Linked DNA regions of Drosophila melanogaster. The protein of the gene in region 1 interacts with the protein of each later gene in a pairwise test. Each region holds a gene or a part of one and is shown in the gene's direction. Other genes may lie near its edges.

Evidence for each region. The genes of interacting proteins can lie anywhere in the genome.
Region 2: the proteins of CG4328 (region 1) and caup interact in a two-hybrid assay, tested with the Drosophila melanogaster proteins (one large-scale study listed by BioGRID).
Region 3: the proteins of CG4328 (region 1) and CG12661 interact in a two-hybrid assay, tested with the Drosophila melanogaster proteins (one large-scale study listed by BioGRID).

Annotation. Positions count from the first base shown.
Region 1 is NT_037436.4:12,288,520-12,299,591, reverse strand, and holds CG4328 (uncharacterized protein), read left to right. Parts: upstream 1-3,468; 5' UTR 3,469-3,721; coding exon 3,722-3,758; intron 3,759-6,624; coding exon 6,625-7,342; intron 7,343-7,494; coding exon 7,495-7,709; intron 7,710-7,765; coding exon 7,766-7,953; intron 7,954-8,021; coding exon 8,022-8,292; intron 8,293-8,350; coding exon 8,351-8,556; 3' UTR 8,557-8,636; downstream 8,637-11,072.
Region 2 is NT_037436.4:12,606,459-12,614,430, forward strand, and holds the start of caup (caupolican), read left to right. Parts: upstream 1-3,172; 5' UTR 3,173-4,310; coding exon 4,311-4,361; intron 4,362-7,972. UniProt on the Drosophila melanogaster protein: Controls proneural and vein forming genes. Positive transcriptional controller of ac-sc (achaete-scute). May act as an activator that interacts with the transcriptional complex assembled on the ac and sc promoters and participates in transcription initiation.
Region 3 is NC_004354.4:8,920,588-8,927,199, reverse strand, and holds CG12661 (uncharacterized protein), read left to right. Parts: upstream 1-3,512; 5' UTR 3,513-3,581; coding exon 3,582-3,977; 3' UTR 3,978-4,312; downstream 4,313-6,612. Other genes in the region: CG43255 (uncharacterized protein), read right to left, coding at 2,826-3,233.

The DNA of each region.
Region 1 (11,072 bases):
GTTAAATTTAGATTTATTTTTCCACTGTATGCTGAGGACAGCAACCCTGGCAACTTTACCCATTTCTTTCACTGCCAGCCATGAACTTTTATTATGCCTAAGGTAAATTGTGTTATTTATTTTTTAGGCCTGTCGCCAGCCACACAGTAATGGAAACAGTGTCGCCAACGGCGCAGAGTCCTTGGTCCTGGCTCCTCGCATTCTGTGTCCTGGTCAACGCATAATTCAGCGTTACTCTGTTGCCACATGGCCACACCCACATCCACCACCCACTGAGCTTACAGCATCCGCAATCCGCATCCCTTTCGGCCCCAAACAAAAAATCGCAACAATTTGTAATGCCAAATATTTTATTCATTCTGCGTTTGCCGAGCCGCCTCCTTGGGCCATATAAATAAATACATATTTGTGCACTTATTTTTTTGTTCCTTTTGGCCCTGTCGGTCCGATTGGCTCAACAGGTCAGATCCGGAGCTGCGGGTGGTGCCTTCACCATGTGAGGACATTTATGGCCAGGCTCTTCCTGCATACAAATGCAGCCGGGGAAAAGCGGAAAAGCCGAGGCGCAGAAATTTATCACGCCATTAGTGGCGCACAGTTTACCGGAAAATATTCACAATTTGTTTATGTCAATTGTGTGTAAGCTTTTTGCTGTCAAATGGTCAAATAAATTATACTTTTATTCCCTGAATTAAATCGCTATTTATTTAATCTGAATAAATATAATTTCTGCATCCATGAGGTTTAATATCTGTAATGTCGTGTTTGCAGAGTTGTAAGTAAATGTTTAGTTTTGGGTAGTTTAAATATGGTTATTTATTTAAATGTTACCATTTAGTAAATTCAATTTGAAGTAAATTACTGAAATGTAAGTAATGAAATGTATAACTCTAATATGAATTGCACCCGATGTTAGGCATTAAGACATATCTGAATATTATTTGAGTATTATATTTAACGGATTGTTCTTTTATAATCCCTTGTATATAAAAATAGACAAGCACTGGAAGAAAAATGTCCCCCCATTGGCGTGCTAATTATGGATCTGCTGCCCATTATTGATGAACTGATGACGCTATCTGGTCACCAAAATAGCGAGTGCCAGTGGAATTGGGACTTCATAAACGCATCGGCACGGCGGCAATTCGAACATAATGAACTCAAAGCCAGGCCGTTGGGTCATTTGTCTATTATGGCGCATTGATTAGCGCCTGACCCCCATTTTGCAGTTCACACTTGCGGGTCGGGATCGCCCCACCCCGCCGACAAATGCACGCAATGCCACACATGTCGTGTTTAATTAACCCCGAACAATTTCAGTTTCCGCTGCACGCCGCCAAATTCCCTACACACACACCCACACACACATATGCACTTTGGCTGCACACTACTCACTCATACAAAAGGCACGCGCATAATATCCATACATACATGCATATGTATGTGTAGTTTGTGCCCTCTGACCCCCATTGTTCAGTCAATTCAACCGGATCCCTCGCAAATGGCCCCAATATCGGAATGCCGTCGGAAACACAGTGACCCAAATTAATCTTTGTCATTAGCAGGGCCCAACTGCAAGTGTCGAGTGGTATGCGATCTAAAGGCCCCTCACAGGCGATGACATCGGGATTTCGGGATGGATGGAGGAATAGATGGATGGATGCAGGGATGGAGGCGGTGGTGCCTCCAAAACCGCCGCCCTTGAGTTTCCATGTCTAGGCTCTGCGTAGACAAAGTGCCAAAAGTTTGGAAGCCTTTGCGAGATGAAGCTGAAGGGAGGAGAGAGAAATGTATATGAAAATTTCAAAATCACAACATCACAACAGAACTGCAACAATTACTCATCATCATCAGCTACAAATATAGATTTCTTAGAATATTGTTCAATAAATATTATTTATAAGATTTAACATAATACACATAGATATCGTTTAAGGTGCCAACTAAAAATATATAAGGTTAACAGTTAGTAAATGAACAAATTAAACAAAATAACAATTATTAATAATTACAAAATAAATTATTATGAATTACACAATACAGTTTAAATGATCTTACAATTTTTTATAAAAATGTATTTTTAAATCTTGCATTACTTAGCAATTGTTTTTGGCACTTAGTTAAACAAATGCCAACATTTATTGTCACTCCTTTATTAAGAAATTACATGTTTCCTACCTGATATAAAAGAAGCACAACAAAAGAAGTACCCATCGCAAAATCCCCCAGGATCAAGCATTTAATGTAGCTCCATTGTCCTTTAAATTCCCTGCACATCCCCGTGCTCCGTGTACTGATTATGAATCGCAAAGATTACCGCACATAACTATTATCATCGTCGGAGTTGGGAAAAGTGGGCTGGGAAAGCGAAAGATGGCTGGTTGGTTGCCAGTTAAATGGTTCGCCCGCACACTAATTGTGAGTAACACGTTCGCGTTTACGAAACTTTTCTGGGAATTTTCGTCGGAAAAGAGGCCAAGAGCCAGGAGTTTCGACCAGACAAGTCCTCATCTCGGCAACTGGGTACTGGGAACTCTGAACTGGAAGCTAGACATACAGTCAGCCGGCAAAGTGCTTAGACATTAAAGTTTTTGGCGCCCCGGTTTAATAGACCAGAAAATTCATTTTGGCCAGGTTTAAAGGGCCACCGGCCACCCTCATTAACAGCTAGCTCTTTGAGCAAAATTCTCCTGGACACTGGGCCGCAAACCTTAATTAAAGCAGCGGGACTGGTCTTTAAGCTTAGTCCTTTTTATAGCGTTCGAAAATCAATAAATTTAAAATGTACAAGCCACTGCGGGAAAAGGGAATAAAATCCTAGCCAGCTCACAAACACACACACACACGGTAAAAATAAAAATAAGAAAAGAAGGACAACAAAATTCCAGCCATTGAGGGAGAGTCCTGTTTTTTTTTGGGGGGGCGGGGATGTTGTTGCTGAGGCGACAAAGCAAGCAAGAAATCGCCGAGCCAAACATCCTTTTGTCAATACAAAATACGTACGTACAACAAAACAAATAAATGTGCCCACGAGCAAAGACAAAGACAAAAGTCAAAAGTGCAAAATGAAAAATCAAACAACAACAACAACAACAAAACCAGCAAAACACAAAAAGCCAAAACAACTCAGAAGCGCCACCCGGATTCAAAATCGGCATTAAAACGCATGAGATGAGATGAGATGGTATGATATGGGGGTTCCGATCGACGCATGCGCCAAAAGCTGGCGAATCTCACGGAAGCTGGGGAAAGGCAAATGGCTGGCTCTCAATGGCTTGCACGGGGATGGAGCCAAAAAGGATATGGGAGCACAGGATGTGCCATAAAATGGCGCACACGCACACACACACAAAGGCAAACAGTGGGCACTTCTCCTTCGGGTTGGAGAGAATTTCCTATCTCGGCAGCAGATGCTTGTGCATTTGGCCAAAGAAGAGCAAATGATTTTTAACAAATTTCATTAACATCAGAGGTCCGTAATCATTCAAGCATCGCGTTTCGTAACAGGGCCAGGTCAGAAGTCCGATACTGGCCGCCCCAAAACAACAGTTGCCAACTGCATTTCGAGTCCCCAAATGTGTCCTTAGGCGTCCTGAAAGCTGTGCTCACAAAATGTGCAAAGATACGTAGGAAAATCGCGTGAAAAGCCCTGAGAAAATTTCATAAATGTCTGTGAACGTGATTATATAGTTTTTCTATTCCCGAACTGAACGATTCCAAAATGATCGACGAACACCATCCCATGCAGATCGGAATGTGTAAGTATGGGCAAACCCGAGGAATATGAAGTCTGAATCTATTCCAATAACCGACGGCATTACAAGCCCAACATTCCCAATCCCGTCGGCATTTTTCTATCAGTTTATTAATTATGTTAAAAAGTGCTCATTAATTTATGGTATGTAAATAGCTTCAAGTAGAAGAGTGCATATATTTCATTCACTTTTTCTCTAGTTTAATCATAGTTTAAATATTAGCATCAAGTGATTAGCTCAAATCAAATACCTTTAGATAAGTGAATTAGGAATAAGCCACCATGTATCATGTGTTATATCGGTAATTGTGATATCACAATTGCACACTTTTCAAAGGTATAAAGTGGATTTTCGTTTTGGCCATTAGTGATTTTGATTTATAACAGTCAAAGAGATCAGCACATTTTATACAAATTTTATTCAGTTGAATTGGTTTTAAAAATACTAACTTAATAGCAGCATAAATAAGTTTTGCACATGAAATTATTAGAAACCAAAGATGAATTATTTGTGAAAATTTGCCATTTTCTTGCTAAATTCTACTTCGCACAAAGCAAATCCCAAGTTTAAACATTGCATCTCAACACTTTTGCTTCAATTTGCCTTCAGTGAATGCTATTTAGCACCCAGAGTGGCAAGTATGCATATGACCGACTGCACACACGTCCACTCGAATCCGACTGGCTGAAAGCCAATGAAAATTACAACATATTTTCCAGAGCAAAGCAAATTTTGACTTCTGTCAGAGATTAGGACAAAACAAAGCATTTGCGCTGCGATTGCTGGCACAACAAAACGGCAATGGCACCATAACTCTATTGTCTACTCAAATCCGATTAAATAAAGCGCTGTCAGTTGCTGCCGAGCGAACTGCTGGCAACTGACAGCGGATTCGGAGGCAGCACACAGCATCCTGGCAGCGCAGCCGACATCCTGGCAAGCATTTCCAAGGGTTTCCGCTTACCCACTCACTGTCGTCGACTGCCAACATATGCCGCCAGCAGCCAGCCGCCAGCCGCCGTAACCGAAATCCTGATCCCCTCCAGCCTCATCCTCATGCTTATTTGCTAAGCCCGAGCATATTTTCCGTAAGGGTGGAAATCCGCCAGCTAAATGCCCTCGGTTAGCCCCCGGATTCATTGAAATTCGTTTATAATCTACATAGTTATGAGCACTGCAAGGGGTGGCATTTGCAACCCGTCCCTCGATTTCCACTGCACATTAGAATCTAATTAGAGCGTGGGCAAGTGGAAGTGCTATCAATGTCGGCTTTACACTTGTCGTCCCAAAATCCTCGAGCTCTATTCTCCGACATGTCCGGCAAACATGTTGGTATATTTTCAAATGTCAAATGGCAATGACAGAGCACTAAAAGTGTAACAGGTGTGGTTGTTGAGCGGATTATTCCGCTGCACATCTTAGGAAATAGCTTCCCGCAGTTCCAAGTGTCACAAGTTAATGGGTATCGGGAATGGGGAGATCAGGACCTTGGAAATTGGGTTAAACACTGCTGGAGACTTCAGTTGCTATGAATAAGTAGCATATTGAAAAGTTTATAAAGCCAAAATACACCCAACGAACATAGCACACATGTCAGCAATATTTTGTTACACATAAATGAAGTTTAATTCATTATTAAATATATAAAAAGAATTGTATATAAAGGTGAAAACTCAAAAAATGCTTTAAAAAAATATATATAATGCTAATGCCAAAAGTTACAAAATAATTCAAAGAACAAGTTTTCAGCTTAATTTCTAAATGTTTTTAGATAGAGCAAAGCTAAATTGTTTCTGCAGGTTTTATATTGCGGTGGTTTTGTATAAATCAACCAAAAACTATATTGAATTTCATTTAGAGTACTGAAGTCACAAAAATATTTGCTGACTATTTTACAAATCGCTTAATTGGTTGACAAAACACTATTTGATTCCCATTTTCCCAGCTATTTTTCTGCATAGTTTTTCTATATCCAAATGGCAATTAAATGCAGTCCAATTAAATGTACTGAGAGCTGCAATCGACTATTTTCGCATTTATTTGTCATTTGGCAGAACAAACTGAGTGCAAGCTGGTCTAGAGCAATTCACGTCAATCAGTGCAAGAGGTGTAGCAAAAATTGTTAATGTAAACGATGGCTGGAATACTTTAACATTCTGGGCATATTTCTGGCATAAATTGGCATACCAGATATTATTTTTGCAAAACATTTAATGAAATTACGCACACATTTAAATCACTCAAATGCGGAATGACAAACACACACGCATGTGAAACGCACACCAGTGAAAACAAGGGAAAAACCAAACAAAATGAACGTCACACACACACAGAGGAGCACAAAAGCTGGAAGCTCGAAACAAATTACGTTGAAATTTCAACAATTTGCCATAAATTGAGACAACAAGGCACAAAAAGCCAACCAGTCAGCACCGCAAATGTACAGTAATTTTTTGCCACCAAGCCAAACAATCGCACATACGCATCGGTTACGCATACGCCACGTTGGTCGTATTTTTTACATGCCACATTTCGCATGGCATTTCGGGGAATTTCGAGTGCAGTCGCACTCACACTCGCACATTTACTCACACTCTTTCCGTTGGTGGAAAAGTCATTTCAATAATTGCAAAACCACAAATTTACTACAACTCGAAACGGTTATGGTCACAGTGCGAGGCAGATGGACATTGGTCCTGCCCGCAAAAACGGGAACCCTTTTTATGCCTGATGACCGAACCATAGTTGTAAATTGAGGGCGCTCTTGGCCACATTGAAAATAAAAATAACTGAAATGTTTCTCATTTGCATGTTCCTTTGGGGCGGTGGGCTGATCTGGACCAACGACACGACCGCAAAACCAAAATAGTTCCGATGGACATAAAATGTCAACAGCAGCAACTGGGTGCTGGCCAACTGCCGCAAACTGGGGGCCTCAATCAACTGCTGCTGTTGAACGGAAATGAACGCATGTTAACAACACCAACGACAGCAGCAACATCGGTGGTGGTGGCAGCCGGAAGGAGTGCGAGTACCAAAGCCGGAGTAGCCCACAATGACAAAATGGCGTCAGTCAGCAGAACTGTCAACGGAAGTTGCAGTAACCACAACAGCAGCAACAGCAGCAGCAGTAGCAGCACCAACAGCAGCAGCAACATGGCCATAAACAAGCAACCGATGGGCATGGGACCGGGCACAGGAACCGGAATGGGAACAGGAACAGGACATGGTCCAGGACCACCCAACCATACACACTGCAACCGCATCACTTTGGGCGAGTGCAGCCTCAATGGAATGGACGGCTTTGCAACGCCGGCAGCACCTCCATCGGCATCCAACACACCGCAAGCGCCTCTGGGAATGGCCTCCAATTCCGGCATGGGCATGGAACTGGGCCTGGCCATGGCATCGCCGCAGCTGAGCCAGTGCGCCCACTGCTGCCAGCCCATTTGCGATCGCTACATCATGCGCGTGGTGGAGAACTCCTTCCACGAGGGCTGCCTCAAGTGCACCGCCTGCTCGCTGCACCTGGTCCACTCCTGTTATGCGAGGGAGGGCAAACTCTACTGCCGCGTCGACTACGAGAGGTGAGTCCTGATTACTGAACCCTGCCAAACGGGGGGCGCTTAAAACAATCAACTCCGTGTGAGTTGCACTTACTTTAAAATGGTAGTGTTTATTAAATGGTACAGCTTAATATTTGAATGATATGATATATATTTATATTTTCGCTCCACAGACTCTACATCCGCAATCATTGCCTTGGCTGTGGCCTTAAAATCGCCGCCGATGAGCTGGTGATGCGATGCCACGAGAACGTCTTCCATCTAAAGTGCTTCGCCTGTGTGGTGTGTGGAGCTCTGCTGAAGAAGGGGGAGCAGTATGTGGTCAAACAGGGGCAGCTCTTCTGCCGCTTCGACTACGAGAAGGAGGTGGAGATGCTACAGGGATACGGTGGGTAATGGCCCTATTCGAAATCGGTTCCCAATGATAACCATATAACTATGTAGATTTCTATGGCGATGAGCTTTTCCCGCCCAAATTAGACGGACGAAGAGGACCCAAGCGACCGAGAACCATTCTAAACACGCAGCAAAGACGAGCTTTTAAGGCCTCCTTCGAAGTCTCACCGAAACCGTGTCGAAAAGTGAGAGAGAATCTGGCCAAGGATACTGGATTAAGCCTGAGAATTGTGCAGGTGCGTAAAGAGGTTTAAATGGAATTTAATCATTACATATTCTATTAAACCAATATCGTATTTTGTAGGTTTGGTTCCAGAACCAGCGAGCCAAGGTCAAAAAGATTCAGAAGAAGGCCAAGCAGGAGCCGCCCAGCAAAGGAGCTAGTGACTCGCAGGACTCGCAGGAATCGCTGGACAGCAGTCTGGCCACCAAAATCAAGGACGAGGCGCACAGCGACAGCGAATCACAGCTGGAATCGCCGTACTCGACGACCTCCGATGGACTGACCCGGATGCGATGCACCATTAAGGACGAACAGGAGCAAGTGCCCTTCAACTGTATGGAGACCAATAAAGGTGGGTTATGCCCTTTAAGGATATTTACGTATCAAGGAATATAAAATACAATTTACAGAGAACTGCAACAAGAACAGCGAGCCCATATTGAACACCATTCTAGGTCTGAGCTACGCCACCTTTCAGCAACTAATGGGTCCCTTTGCCCAGACGCCTATGATCAATCCGATCGACCGACTATATAGTATGCAAAGCTCCTACTTCCGGCCGGAGGAGCTGCAATCCTACGGCGAATGCGGCGTCAAGGACTCCATGGATCACTAGTCCGCCCGGCGAAGGCCGTCGAATTTTAAGCCCAAATCAAAATTAGACCTTGTAAAATAAAAGAATGTTAATGTGCTAGCAATCGAACTTAAACACCCCGAACCCGGATAAGTGGATTTACTGCCCTTCCACCCCCCTTGGAAGCTGGACCACTTGCGCAATCCACCCACCGGCCGGGTTGGTGGTTGGTGCATCCCATGTTGGTGGCTCTGCAGGTGCAGTCTCGAAATTAGTTCCGCTCGGTTGACAGGCACAAAGCATTTGCCACAGCAGTCGCAACCCTGCTGAATTCGTCCTTTCGGCTCGGAATGGGCGTAAAATGCCGATTCGTCATGCGTAGTTCAAAGGCTCGGATACGAAGGGATCCGGAACCGTATCCTCCCCACGATGACGAGCCGTTTGATAGCGTCGACATGAATGTGCTGCAAATGCCGCCCAAGGACAGCACTTTTAACTAGCATCCTGGCCTTTCGTTTTGCTTGAGCGGAAGAACTGCATCGGAATGTCCCAAACCCAAAATCTAAGACAAATTGGGTGGTAAATCCTTAAGCTTTCAAAGGCATAGAAAACCAAACTATAAAAAATGCTTTTTAACAAACAACTTTTTTGCCGAAAAACAATATTATATTATATTAAATATAATATGGTTTTTGAAAGCAGAGGAGAAAATTCATTTCATTATCCTACTAAAATATTTATATAAAATCCTTGAAAAAGCTAAACTATAAATAATTATGAAATTCAAGTTGATTTGTTTTGTAAATCGATCCAATTGTGTTCAGACGAACACCTCATAGCAATCAAACACTGAATAGCAAGCTTTTGCATAATTGTTATCCTTCCGAGACTAGGCCGATTCCGAATTTAGGAACTCGAATGGAAAACACTTGGACAATCGGTGGCTAATTGATTTACGAGGAACTGCAACACGTGTTTACACAACTCCGGATGAATCCAACCCCGTCGCGGAAGGAACAAGGACCCCGTCACTCCGCCAAGTTCCGTACAAGTTTGTGCAATTTGTCACAATATGTGTCACATTAGCCACAGCAATTGTGCTTAAACGTCACCGTCTCGCCGGGTATCCGGTTTTTGTGCCTCCTCCCCGGATGTCGTCATCGTCGTCAGGGCCGCTAACCAGATTAAACCCCAATCGCGACACCGATACGGCCAAGGATATCCTTACGGTCCTCGAAGGGGATGTTTGTGGTAGGGGTCGCTGAAAAAGTGGGCAAACAAAGAGCCGGGACTCAACCACCGTTGAGCCAACTGCCACCACCACCACCACTATCACCACTACCACCATCATCATCGGCGAGGAATCTGCACGCACCCCATTTCCCTTGCAGGATATCCGTGTAAGTCGTTTGCAGATACACGCATTAACTGTGGCCGTAAAAAAGAGATTCAGTGTCCGCATCATTAATCAAAAGCGGACAAGGCCAAACAAGTGCATTGCGCATTCCGAAAAAACTGCCCTCGAGAATGACGAAGCGATGTCCTGGAAGTCCTTTCTGCAGTGTCCTTTTGCCATTGAGAGCACCACTTGCACCACCTTCAACCACGTGCTCCTCCGCTGAATGATCCTTTTCCGCTCGTTAATGTGTGAATTACACAATTAATTACTGTGACTGCTATGGATGGTAAAGTTATTCAAATGCTCTTTCACTTGAGAGGGCACTTTTTTCATGGATTTCAATATTCCTAAAATAAATAACTTGGCAATGACTACATTCAGGATTTCTACTACTATACTTTTTCGTTATTTTATATCAATACTTATTTATTCTTAAAGAATTGACTATAAAGAATAACCTAAGTATTAAACAAAGCCACTCAATTTTGAATTTGCAATCGAAAGATGATTTCTTTTTAAATTTAGCAAACACCAAACCAAACGCCAGTTTGGTGTCCCCTAAAATGTCCCTCAAATTGCAAAATGACTTTTATGGGAAAATCAGCCAGGGAAATGCTTTCAAAATTGAATCAGTTCTAAAAAAAACGTTGACAAAAGTTACTTTTTTATACGGTACTTATGAATTTCCAGCTCGTAATACTTGCCGTCAGCATTTTATGTAAACAATAAAAATCAAAAATCAATTTTGCGTTCCCATAAAAGACCATCACAATACTCAGTTCACAAAGAGTGGCAAATCGCATAATAAACAATATGGATGTCGGGTAAATAAATGTGCATTTGCTTTTATTTTCATAGGACGCATGTGTTGACAAAGGCTAAAATGCGATATTGAGGTAGGAAAATCTATGTGGATTGATATTTGCCAAATAAATGGCAAAAACATTAGACGATTGATATGGCAAATCAATTTTGGGCAAACTGAATGAACGATTGTAGTTTGGGCACAATAGATATTGATGTATCTGATTTAAGTGTCCACCCATTTAATTTATTAATATTATAAGCTTATTGAATTTTCTTGAAAAACATCCACTCGCAATTCGAAAAAGGTGAGTAAAGTCCGCACTGTAATACCAGCAGTTGGTGAAACTATTTC
Region 2 (7,972 bases), 320 kb from region 1:
CCGATTTGTTGATTTGTTTTGAGAAGTGAGTAAATAAGTATGTTTCCATTTATGAATGTGTTTGTTCTTGCTGGTGTTGCTGTTCTGTTTGATCAGCAATTTCATTTTCGAGTGCCATCGATAAGATGGCCAGGTGATGATAGTGTGACTCTTATCTAGAATGGCTGATAACGCCAAACACTGATTGGTGGTGAGTGGAGCTCCCACCCACCGGCTATTTGTCGATAGAGTTTTCCGGCTCAAAAATGGAGAATATTATGCCCAAGGACTATGGCCAATTTGTAACAGAATCTTTAGTGTTGAGTACACCCAACATGGCTCCCCTTGGAGTCGTGGCTTAAACTGGACTTCCAACTCCAAGTGTGCAAACCCAAAACACAAACGAAAACAAATTCATTTAAAGCAATTTGCATGAAGAGAGAGAGAATCCTTTTTGTGCTTGTTACGGTGACTTTATCGTTTATCGTTTTGCGAAAAGGATTTTATTATATTCACCAGAAGCACTATCCTTTTGCCTTTGCATGTGTGTCTGTCTGTGTGTGTGTGTGTCTGTGCGGCAGAAGATTTTTCGCCGAGAGGAAACTGTATGTGTGAGTATCTGTGTGTGTGCCACATACTGAAAAGCGACAATTTCATGTCCAAATGCTTTCCAGGTGACATGAAACAACACTTAAGTAAGAAGCCTTTCTGGGGAAGGAGGTGGGGTGGTGAATATTCTGCCTGCAACTCTCTGTGCAACTGTATCCATTCCACCCACTCAACGCCCACCCATTCACTCACACACATTAGCAGTTAAATTTGTTGGAGTGTGTGTGCGAGTGTCTCTGAACCAACGCACCTGGCGTCGAAGAATAATATCTCTTAACGCCAAAATCTACATTTAAATTGTTTTCAATATAATCTGCATGTCCTGTCCACCGAGTGAGCAATGTTCGAGTGTGTGTGCTGCACTAAATGAAAGCAGAGCTCAGACAATGGGAATCCTGGGATCAGGACACTTATGGGCACGGGCTACGTGCTCCCAAGGATATGCGACATGTGCCACAGTTCACATGTCCGAAGTCATCAAACAAATCACTCAGAGATATTGATTCAAGGAGGTAAACACTGCAGAAAACATTCGATTCAATTAAAATATACTCCAATTAGCATGATACTCATTTTACATATTTTCTTAAACATTTAGTATTTATTTAATATAAGCTTATAATTATGCTAAATATAAATTATATATAGATTATTTGAAATGTTCATCTTGTGTATCTTCAAAATATCGAAACTTAAAAAATTACACGAGTATAGTCCTGCTTATTTGATGATTCAGAAATTGTTTTAATATATGATTACTTTACATAACGTTTTGGTATGATTGGATTGCATTTATGTTGTTTTCAATTGAAGAATAACTATTTGCAACTTTTAAACCAATCACAATTTGGCTCTTTAGAAATTCAATTTTTAAAAGCATACATTTTAAATTTCATGGATGAATTCTTTATTCTCAAATGCATTTCTTTCATGTGAATCCTTTCGTATTCCAGATCCCCAGACTCATGAAGTGGGTGTAGAATTTCGTGGCGCCGCCAAGAGCGTCCAGAAATTGAGTACCGATCAGGAGTTTGGGCATTCGGACACTTTTCCCAAAAATACCCGGTGCATTTTCATTTTCCTATGCAAATGACACATTGCTACACACACATTTACATATGCGTTCGTTTGTAAGTACCGAAAAAAGTGCCACATGTGCGTCTCTTTTGACTTTGAGATGCACTCGCATTTATAATAAATGGCAGCGCGTTAACACCCCAAAACATCAAAATACTCATTTTACAAAAATTCCCCAAAAACGTTCAGTTCCCCTCCCCACCCCGCCCGCTCCACATACCATTAATTAGAACGCACTCGACTCGAGGACCCTCAAATGGACCGGCCACGCCCCCTTCCTTGGATCGAATGGAATCGGATTGTTTGTTTGTTTTTTCTCCTATTTCGGTATCTTGTTACGATTAGCTAGTCCCAATTAGCTGCGATTTTCGTGATTTGGCCTTGAGATATTGGAGCATTAAGCACTTTTATGGGAAATGTACAATGCATATATCAAGCTATTTTTAAAAAAACACACACACACTGTAATGATTAAATGTTGTTGATGTTACCAATAACGTACGGATTAGTTTTCTTAAATAAAATTAGATTTTGGCTTTATATACTTGCAGACCTTCTAAAATAATTTAATTTGATTACTTTTTAGATTTTCCAAGTCCTTACACCACCCAAAATTTAAATGCACATTAAAATATCAAACTTTTTGTTTATTGGGAGCCAAGATAGAAAAGCAAATATGTTTATTAAAATATAAAAACATGCTTATATTTGTTTGCTGTATGTTATTTTTTGTAGTTTGATGTGACATAGATTATATTTATTTCAGCTGGGCTTATAAAAAAGGTTTTATGTTTTTGTTATTTTAATATTGAAAATTCTCTTTTAAAATTTCAAAGAATAATTGGAAGCGGATCAAATAAAACACTAAACTACTCAATATTAAAGAGATTGTATACCCACTCGTCTTGAAAAACATATCTTTATATGCCTGCAAATTTTCTTAAACATTATATTTAATTAATTAAATTAATGTTTGATTTTTTGAGATTGTAGAAAAATGTTCCAATTCTTCCCACGAATGTATGCCCAGACGTATTTTGACCAGTTATTATGATAGCAAATCTTCAGCAACTCTTTTCTAGTTTTTCCAATTATTTCTGTATTGTACTTTTTTATCAAAATCGGAAAATTCTTAGCCAACTTTGGCTACAATATCCAATTGGGAAGCCTTTCGATCGTGGTCCGCCATGAAATCGCTTCCAACGTCGACAGAGAGGGGTCGGCAGAAAGAGAGCGTCGACTTACTTTCCAGTGCTTGGAGGTGGGCGTTCTCAACGAACAAAGCAACAACAGCCCCAGAGAGTCTACCCTTCTCACTCGTTACCAGACCACTCACAGACGTGCAAGCGAGAAGGCTGCTGCTCGTGGCTGCCAGTCTGATTGGAACGCTGGCCAATGGGAGAGCTCCTAACTGGCTGGCTCTCTCGCGGCCCTGCAGCCATCCCGTTTACATCGCTGCTGCCATCTCTGTCACACGCAACCGCGCTGCTCGCTGAGCGGCCGAAAAACAGTTTGTTCCGAAACGCGAATAGGTGCGCATCTTCGCATCTTGGCATCTCCGCCGCGTCGCCCAGTAAACTCGAAAAAAGGCCGAAACGAAAGTACCGACGAACGAGTTACAGTCACCGGATAAGTCACAGTCGGTTATTGAGTCGCAGTCACTGCCGTCGTCACCGTGGAGATACCGCTGACAGGTTGGAACGGAACCCGTTTTTACTGGAGCATTGCCAGCGGATCGGATCGGCAGATGCAACCGACGTAGATAATGAAGTGCGTGCAATAGTTATGATAAAAGTAAATACGAAAAAAAGGGACCCGAAAAGACAGGCAAACCTCTCTAGAAATGTCTCGTTAAATATCAAAAGAAACTCGCCATAAATTCGAAACTATGTTTATTATTATGGATCACATATCAAAAAGTTTCCTAAGCTGACTTTAAAAAATTTCGATACAGTGTGGAAAAAACTGAAATACCAATCAGTGGGTAAACTCGCAAACCAAACTGACACATTCTTTTGACCGAAGACTGAAGAGCCGCGTACATTTGTAAATCTGTTTGCGGCAAACACTTGAATCCAATTTGCTTTGCCCGGCTGTCGTCTGTGTGTGTCTTTTTTTAACCATTTTGGTAACCGGCCGCCAAAGAGTCAAACAGAGTCAATAAAAATCAAGTTAAAACGGATGAAAACGGACGAGCGAAATAAAACAGCAAAGTCACACAAAACAAACAAAACATTTTCCGGCTCCGGCGACATTAACAGAACTGCTCGACATCGACAATTTGTTTTATCAATTTTCAACAAGGCCAGCCAGCAGCAGCAACAACAACAATAGCACAACACCCAACAAGCCAGCAAACAACAAAAGCGCCCAGAGTGCTTAGCCGTCGAGCACGCACGCCAAATCCGCCCAGCCACCCAACCCAACCACCCACTGGCCACCCACTTGAACCTCCCTTAAGCACCCAACACCATCCCCACATCCTTGGCCACCCCTTTTTCGAGGGCTCCGCCAGCATCCGCATCCGCAATCGCAAAAAAAAATAAGAAAACAACAAGCAAACAACGAGGGACGCCCCACAGTGAAGCCCCGGCACAGTGAACTCGCGTGTCGCCGCTCTTTAGGCCAACTCAGCCAGCGAGACAATGGCTGCATATGCGCAGTTTGGATACGCTGGCTACCCGACGGCAAATCAGGTGGGTTTATGCCGGTGGTTTGTTTAGAGATTAACAGTTAACCGTTTTTTTTAAGTCTGTATTGATTAGTAAGCAAACTTAACTTAAGTTTTAAACGGTTATTTAGCACAGACAACAATTTTAAGGAATCTTTTAGTATGGATCCAATATTGTATCTTATATATACATTTATATTTGCTTTGAAAATGTTGCTCCCTTTAGATTTTGTCAATAATATATTCAATTTTAAAAGTAACAAATTCCAAATCAATTAAAAACCTTATCCAAATTTTTTTTTGTAATCTCATAATTTGTGTTCAAACTGAAGGCCATAAATACCATATTATAAAGAGCACTTTGCTTACAATAATTATTGTGAATAGAATCTGAAGATTTATAAATACATTGATTTAAATTGAGTAGAATGCGAAAAACCAGTTGAAAGAGCAAATTTCTGAATTATTGCTACTGGGTGCCTTAAATTTAAATTTAAAACAGATGGCTTAGTCATAACAATTTATATTGGCCATGAAATTAAATTTATTAATTTCGTTATATGTATTTATTATATTTTGATTTACAGCTGTGCCATTTCAATATGCAGCCATAACTTAATCATTTCAAGAGACACTTGAATATACTATTTATTTAGTGCGGACTAAAATAATATTTGGCACACACACAAAAGATGTTTCATAAAACCAGAAACTGAGTCAGTTGAATATTTTGGCATGTGCGAAAAGGGAAATCTTTAATAATGGACGGTGCGAAATAACTTTAAATTTACATATTAAGCCGGCGGGTTTGGGGAGCAGCCACTGCACATGAATATTCAAGCACTTTGGCACCGGTTGGGGCTCCTGGATCCCTATATATATACATACATATATATATAGATATATATATATATATGCGGATATAGCCATAATGGCCGCCCCGCCGCCAAGAAATGTTTCACAATTTAGGACAGCCGTCACCGCCTTGGATGCAAATCGCTGGTAACCGAAGGGGGGGGTCTGGTGGGGCATTCCGGTGGCAGTGCATCGTCCGAGGTCTGGTCATAATTACCCGGTATTCGGAGCTCAGTAATTCAAATTAGTTGGCCCAAACGGGGGGAAGTGAAACACTTGCAGCTACAAAGCCCTTGCAATGCCTGTGTAAGCCATGTTCAACGACTACTATGTGGTCAAATGCGTCAATGCTAGTGCGTTTATCCTGCTGCCAATTTATGTACATTTATATATATACATATGTATATATGTGTGTATGTATACAATATTCCTGACCACGGTGGCTGGCATAAATTTATGCTAATGAAGCCGCCGGCGGAGTGGTGCACCATTTATTATAATATGCAAACTTGGTAAATTACAATAATTAAAATAATGAACGTTCAGATTATCGACTATAATTATGGCTGGAGATGTGCAAAAAGCCTTTTGCCTTGCAATCGATTAAGAGCCAACAGAATTTTGTCATCGTTTTCGGCTCATTTGCATACGTCTACTAAAGCCACTAAAAGCCACTAAATGCGACTAAGCCACCAATGAAAGACTGGTCAGTTGATATGGCATTCGGGTGCCAAATTTATGCAGTGCACACACTCGGGTTCTCATTAATTTAATTTTAATTTCGACGCCAAGACGGCATTCCAAATATAAAAAAAAACGACAATATATAAATTTAATCAACGGCTGACAGTTGGCAGTAGCAAAAGAACTTGCAGGCACATCGCACATCGAATTCTTAACTTCCCATGCGAGCTGTTCACGCATTTCATGGCAAAATAACTAAAATTCTAAGGCAGCAAAAAGTGCGCGACGATGTCGAGTCCTGGATTCACATAGGCTCCATCTGAAGCCCCCCCAAATTCCCCATCTCCATCTCCATTGGGACGCAAAAGGACAAGCCCGTAAATGATGCGAGAAAAAACTAATATTTCGCAGTGTGCATTCCATAATTGATTTATGAATTTTTAATGCAAACATTGAGACCGCAGTTGAGTTGCGAAAGAGTTGTTCCACTGCGAACCATAGTATTCTGCGCCCCAACTTAATTCAATAAGCAAGCCCCACAAAAAACCGAGCAACTTATTCGCATTAGCAAAAACGCACTTTGGAGCCAGTCCCTTTGGCCATTCAATGCACGGCGAGAAAAAATGTGGGCAATTGGTAGGGGCTTATTCTCAAATTTATTTTAATGACATAGAAGCGAAATAGAAGCATAAATCGGTAAACTTAGCTGTTCACTACCATAAAACTTATATCCATACCTTTTATTTAGATAACAAACATAAATTCTACATAAATTTAATTCATTTTAAAAATTCTTATTCAGGAAGGTTTTTGTTTAAGTAATGTTTCTACAAGTTCTATATAGATATTTAAATAAATTCAATTGATTTTATCTTAATTTATTCAGTAAAATAGCAGTTGTTAAATGTATCTAGAAACTAGAAAGTGAGAATTGTTAGACTTTTCATACTATTGAACTCTTTCAGCTATGTAGTCCAGGATTTAATATGATTTTTTGTAGTATTATTTTTTCCCAGTGCACCCTTTAAAGTGGGCCTGGGTATCTGTATGAATATGGCATACTCGCTTGGCAACGCAATCCTGCGGATGAATGTGAGAATATGCCAAATCCAAGAGGAGGACTGACTGCGAACTCGAATGCGAACATGTGTTTGTTTGTAGGGACTCCTTCGCATTTTCAGCTTCCTTGTCGCCGAGCTGGGATTCTCATATTTTCGCTTATTGTTCTGGCCTGGCGTCAAGCCAACCCCCCAACCCGCCCAACTGAAGGAAAGCCCCTCCAACTAACCAACCAAGCCCAGGCCAATAGCTTTTGTTTCACAATCGTCGTTGTTGTTAGGAGTGCAAAAACCAAATCCATAAACGCATCTCCAGCGGTAGCAGAAACAACAGCAGCACCCAATAACCACAACAATGCCGATCTCCTTTGTCTTGACTATCCCATACCGTGCCATCCCATGCCATCCCATACCATACCAAACCATACCATACCATACCATCCTAACCATATCGTACTCGTGCGTTCGTGAATTGGCAATGGGTGGGAGGGGGGTAGGCAGGAGTTGGTAGGCGGACTCGTGAGCTTTAACATAAATCATAAAATTAATAACCGTAAAGTGACGGCACCAGCTCCACCAACATCTTGGCCCCAATGGGTGCGGGTGGCCATCTGTAGCGGTATCGGTAAAGGTATCTGCAGATACGTATCTGCATCTGTGCATCTGGAACTGCATCTGGATGCGTATATGGATGTGGGCACATCAAAGGCAGAGATAGAGATTTACACGATGTCCATGCCGGTTCAACCGAATTACGGTCAATGAATATTCGCCCGCTTTATTCCAGCTTGTTTAGGTTTTATGCTCTTGTATCTGTTGGTTTTCAGCTCGTTTGGACTTTCGCTTGTCCAGCTGTTTTGCAGATTTCATGTTTGCGTTTTGCGGCTAAAGATGCAAGGTTGAATTGCCACTTTGAACTTTGGTAATGGCGCATAAAAATCGGGCTCGTATTGCTTGTCTTAGTGGTGATTGCCTGCCCTTCAAATGGTTTCTCACTGGCAATTAGTGGGAAACACATTCTGGCAATATTGATGACTGG
Region 3 (6,612 bases), on another chromosome or scaffold:
AAGCGAAGCAAACAAGAGCAAACAAAAAATTGTGGATCAACAATTGAAACATCGCGTTTTTATATGTACGCAAGACAAATGGGTAGCAATTTCTTTATTTCAGAAACAAACAAAGTCGCCTAAAACAAAAATCTTTAAACCATTTCAAAGCGCACACATTTATTATTACAAATATGTGCAGGCTTCATTCATGTTTATACTTTGGTGATTTAAAATGTAAATTCTTCGTATTGATTAAAAAAAAAATATATAAATTTAAAGTTTCCTTAGAGAAATTTAAATTGTATATTTACACTTGGTTACCGCGACGAAGTGCCTTCGTCGTTGAATGCAAACTTGAGGACAACAAACGAGCGGAAGCACAAACACAAATGCCACGTATACGCCACGTTGTCTGACATTTTCCCCTGTTACCGGGGAAATGCGAAATCAAAGATTGCCAACCGCACAGAGTGCCGCCTTTCGCCATTACGTTATTTTCGCCATTTCGCGCTCTTATGTCAGAGAAAAGCCGGTCACGCGCCAATACAAGAGCTGCAACATCCTCCAGCATGCAGTTCCTTAAACGCACCGATTAGCAAAAGGACACGTACACGAAGGATGCGTGTGCGGATGTCGTTGCGGATGCCAGTGCGGATGCGAATGTGGCAACAAGTTCGGCTAACGAGACTGGCTGGCCGACAAGAGCACACCCAAATCCTTAACCGGAGTGGCCTAAAAAAAACCTAAACCGCTCGCTTTGGCCAGCAATTTTCAATGAATGGCATCGTTTAATACAATTGCCCACACGGCGTATGCGTAACGAGTTTGTTTCGCCGTGTTTTTGCCGAATTTCGAACCGAAATTGCAGACGATTTTTCATTAAATCATCTTATTGACACACAGACATTCGAAAGTAGGGGGATACTCTGAGACAATGAGAATGTTGGTAATTGAATTTATACAGAATGAAAAGCAAAGGGCATTCCACGGAATTTTATTCAAAATTACACATTGTTGCACACATATTTGTGGAGCCTAAAAAGAGCTCGAGCTTTAAATAATTTTTAAAAAATTACTGCTTTAAACTAAGATATATTAATATATTCAAGCAATTCGAGTCAACTATTTTACATCTGTGGAATTTTGAAACTCTTTGTAAACTATAAAATCCGATTATATTTTATGATATTCCAAAAAAACTCATCAAATTCAACACAACAAGCTGAGAACCGAATTCTTGATAATTTCCATGCGTGATTCTATTAACTGAAGCATACAATACAATATTCTGTGGAGCTTTTCCTAAAACTACGAATATTTGCCAAAAATTGTAGCTGAAACTTTAAATAAATCTGGGAATCCCCATTTGAAGACTAAATATAAAAACATTTCCGAAAAATCACAATACAAACACGCTGCTCACAATCACACACGGCAAATAAACTCTCACATCACGAAATTAATCAACAAATTTTCCAAGGAAATTTTTCAATGAATTTCAATAAGTATATTCATATTTACCGTTTCGGTTTGCCGCTTTAGTTTTTCTTTACAATGGAACGCACTTTTCAGTCGTTCGAATCAAGTCAAAATTTCGTGCACATTTTTGCGTGCTTTTACACGTTAACAGTTAGGATTCAAAAAGCACAAAAACTAGATCTTAGTCTTACATAGTTTTAAGTTTTAAGTTTGTATCGTAGCTTATATTTCAAGTATTGAATAAATACTTTGGAATATCTTTGAATATTTTCGAATATTTGTACAAGTTAATATTGGTTTAGCACAACACTTAGAAGCACAATCAAAAAAATAGTTACTTTATATTTAGATATTGTAAGTTTTTCAGTATGTTTATGTTTTTCTTATGGTATGCGATGTTTTTGTTGTGTTTTGGGCGATGTTGGTGTTTTTTTTTAAGAACTTGGTAGTTCCAGAGAGTTTTGGTATTTTGCTTTGAAATGTTTGGCCTGCTTGGGCTGTTCTGCTATTTAAATGAGTTATTTATTTCTAGAACAACGCGCCTCGTCGACCGTTCAAATGAAACTGATGCGAAGGCGACGCATTGCCAGGAATATAAAGCGACCGGGAGCGAGAGGGCGCTATTGAGCATAAGCGCGGGAGCGAGCGAGAGGCCAGCAATCGGCCGGCAACTTCGGCTGTGGTCGGCAAAAGCCGAAGTACTATAAACACCTGTAAGCAGCCTTCGATGCCGGCGAGAGAGCGAGAGGGAGAGAGGGAGGGAGGGAGAGAGAGAGAGCGAGAGCGAGCAAGCGAGCGAGTGGCCGTATCGTTCTCACTCCCTCACCCTTTGCCGCCCAACGCCCACATACTCCCGCTCGCCCCGTCTCTGTCTCACACCCTCTCTCGCTCTCGCTCTCTCTCTTTCGCGCTCGCATTCGGAAGCGGAAGGAAACTCAACAGTTGGCACATTATTGAGTGGAGAGAGGAGCGGAGAAAGTAGAGCGGAGAAATGGCGAGAACTGCGGAGAAAGTGCGGGCGGCAGCGCTACTCTTTGTTTTTGTTGTCGCTGTTTGTTGCCATCAAATTTATGGCAATCATTTGTGCGGTGTTTTAAGTTGGTCCAACACAAGTGCCCAAACTATCGATAATTATCGAGAGAGAGAGAGAGAGAGAGAGAGTGATGGCGTGTGAGGGCGATGGAGGAAGTAAGGGATTAGAATAATCCAAACGATTATCGTAATGATATTGTTAGCTATTAGCAATCAGATTGTTTGCAATATCTAAAACAATTTAAATAAACGATTTTATGGCATTAATTATCGGTATAATCGGCAATATTGTTATCGATCAATATCATTCCTAACAACAGGAAGAAAGCTGCTTATATTTTTTTGAAAAATATTAAATCGAAGAAATCTTCAAGGAAATCATTGGTCTCATGTTCGGTGTCGACCTCGTCGAGTAACTTCTTCAATCTTCGTAATAGATCCTTGTCCTTTTCGAGAGTATCCAACAGTTGTTCAGCATCGCTTTTTAATAAGCCCAATTTACGTAGTAAACGTATCACACGCCTTTCAAATGGCGTAAAGGACTGACGTTTGAATCGGTTGTATCTCTGCGGCAGCTTCAAGGATATCTTGTGTTGTACAAATTCCACAGAATTCTCTTTATGTTTAGTAGTCGTTAGCTGCTCCTTAGATATCCCGTAGAATTCCTTATCACGACGTTCAAGGCTTAATCCAAAAGCGGCCAAAAAGACCAAGAGCCCAAAGATATGCAAGTAATGCATTTTTAAAAACTATGCACGGCCACGTTGTCCAACTTCTACTTATATACACTTTCAGTAGTGCACTTATCAGCAAAAAACAAATTAACTCAAACTCAATTAGAGATAGCTTCACACTGAGTTATGTCAATGCCGTGACTTTAGTTTAAAAATTTGCCCAAGAAGAGTCAAGAACATGACCTAACTTACTTAACACTGCGAGTCGCCCATTTCCTGCTCATATATTATTTAAATTGAAGAAATTATTACAAAACCAAAGTAGCATTGCGTTTTGCGTAACTCAAATAAGGGCAGTCAAACGAAAATTACCAACCGACTTTTATATTTTCCATAAATTTTATACTACTCGAGATGGATTGTGACAATTCGAGTTTGGAGGAGAAGCGAGAACGCGTTGACAATGCAATCCTAACCGCCATGGAGGATCTGGATCGGGATTATCTGCGCAAATTGCAGATCGAGATGCACAGATGTGCGACCGCCTGTTGTGCGGATGCGGACGCGAATGCGGAGGCGGTGGAGCGGTGCATCGATCGCTGCCAAATCCGTTTGACCCGATCACGCTGCTTCGTACAGCAGGGTATATCCGATTTTGAGAATCGCCTAGAGAAGTGCATCCAGCAGTGCCGCCTCAATGGATCCGATTATAGCTTGGAACGTTGCACCAGCAACTGCGTGGATAGCCATGTGGGATTGTTGCCCGAAATGTTTAGGGCTATGCGAGATACCCTGGAGAAAGGTGTTTAGCAAAACAGAACACTTATGGTTTGATTTAATTAAAATTATATTCGTTGGATTTAAACAAAAATGTCTTAATTTATATTATTTTATATTATATTTATTATTCAAAAATTCATTTAAAAAATATCATGGACTGTGAACCACCGATTTCCTTAAATGCCATCAAACACCTCTTAATTGCTAAATAGCGACTTAATTAATGCCAAACGGCAATTAGTAATCTAACACCAGTCGCCAATCGGCCGAGGAAATGTTTATTGATTTATTTACTAATTTAATCGATTATGCTGCAATTTTTGGTGACCCAAAAACATGCTTTTTATAAAGCAATTACGAGACCTCATTCCATCGAAGGATAATGGCCCAAAAGCAATACAGTCCACAAATTATTCATACGAACATGTTTCGTATGGTCTGTGATTTATTCAGCAACATAGAGAAAAACGCGCCGCATGTAAATGCTACCAATTGATTTTTTTTTTTTTTTTTTTTTTTTTCCATTACGATGATGTTTTTATTATTTGATCAACGCACTGTTACCCATGCGGCAACTTAATTTGATCTGCTTAAATTATTTTATTTTACAATGTGTCTTGGTTACTTAAGACTAACAGATTTTTAATCCTAAAAATGATAGGGAGAATTATAATAGTTGATATAACATAGTAATTATTATTTATTTGATTATTCTAATGAATTTTAAAACTAAGACTTTCTAGGTCAAAACCAGGTTAGGGAGGTCATGAGGGTGGTGTCGCTTGAGTCTTCTTTTGACTCTAGTCCGAGGGTCAGCATTGACCACAGCTGCAGTTCCTAGCTTCCTTGCTAGGCTGTTGGGGTGTACTCCAATTGATACGACAATAGCAATAATCTCCTCGTCACGGGCAATGTGGCATACTTTCAGGCGAGGCACACCAAAGTTTGGGCGCCAAAAACGGCGCACAATTGCAGCAGAGGAAGGAAACGGCAAGGAGAAACAAGGAGGTCTTCAAATTGGTTCGAAGCAAGGCAACGAAGTAGACATTATTTGAAAAAGGCATCTACGACCTGTCCGTCAATGAGTGCGCTGCAATTACCGTGGAAATTGGTCAGCGTTGCGTCTGCCTGCCTGAGCAATCGATAACCAATTGTGAAAACTGTACACTTATCGAAATAATCGATTTTCATAGTTTAAGACAAAAGAAACGAAATAGTGAACTGTTCATTCAATTGACGGGACCATTTAGTTACTTAAATGAGGAAGTAATTAGGTCAGCCATATTTGATCTATATTTCATGTCTATCGACAAGCAAATATCAAACGTATCGATACTACCGATAATCAGCTTTGTATTGCAATTCTATGTGGAGTTTCCCCAGTTAAAGTTTCATCAGTCCAAGGGGAACATAAAGTCAGGACAACGGACTGTGACTGTGCTATCCACCCATCGACAATTTCCGATGACCAAATATACCCACTGCCGCCCCCTGAACTGAACTGAACTGAACTGAACTGAGCTGAGCTGAGCTGAACTCTCCTGTCCTGTCCATCAAGGGGCAATCAGACTCGAGTGTACGGAGGTGTATTTGACAGATATAGGTGTGCAGACAAAAGCAATCGGCATGTCAGTTGAGCAGTTTAAAGAGCACAAGAGGCAGGCATCGTTGGGCGTTTGGCGTTTTGGGTGGAAATTATGGGCTGCTAGACAATGGCAGCGGGCGTCTAGCAAAATGTTTTCGCATTATTCAAATGAAATGCTCTTTATTGTCTGCCAGTCGTATCGTACCAGCAATTGCACCACCAACAAACACAAAAATAACAACAAAAAACACAAAAAAACAACAGCAACAGCAATCAAACAAATCAGAAAGAAAACGCAGGCGGGGTTTCCCCGGCTCAATGGAAACAAAAAAAACAAATGTCCATGGAGGATAATACAAAAAAAAAAAAATATTATTACCTGCATTCAACGAGAACAATGAATCATTTCTCACAGAAAAAAATGAAATGCGATTAGAAGGAGCCACATTGAACGCCCAAAATCGGATTGGCTTTTTGTTACTTTTTCTTGAGCAGTAACTTCAGAAAATTGGCGAGCTCTTGATGAATATTAAGGAGTTTTTAGGAAACTACTTGGAATTCGAAGACTATTTTTTGTAATTTTTTAGCACATTTGAACATGACCAATGGCTTAATATTGATTATTTTATATATATATATATATATATATATTGTATAGGATATATATATATATATATTGTATAGGGTTTTCCGAGTGCACACATCGCCACTCAATCGGACATTGATTAGAACAAAGGAGCAGCCGAGGAATTGCAGGAATTGCAAGTTGCAAACTTCGTCCTGCTTATCGTCGTATGTCGAAATGAAATGGCTGAATGCGTGGGCTCATATGTGCATATATATATATATACATATATATATATATATGTACAACAAACATCCTACAAATGCACTTTGGCACATCTAAATTCCTGGAATGAGAACTTGCTGCATGAACTTAAATTGCTTTTCTAAGAACAAAGTACTCCAAAATTCTGTTAACAATATACACAGAATATTTAAGTTTAAATTTCAATATGTGCAGCCAATTAACTTTAGACATCTTAAGATAATTTGATGAATTTTCCCTTGACTCACTGC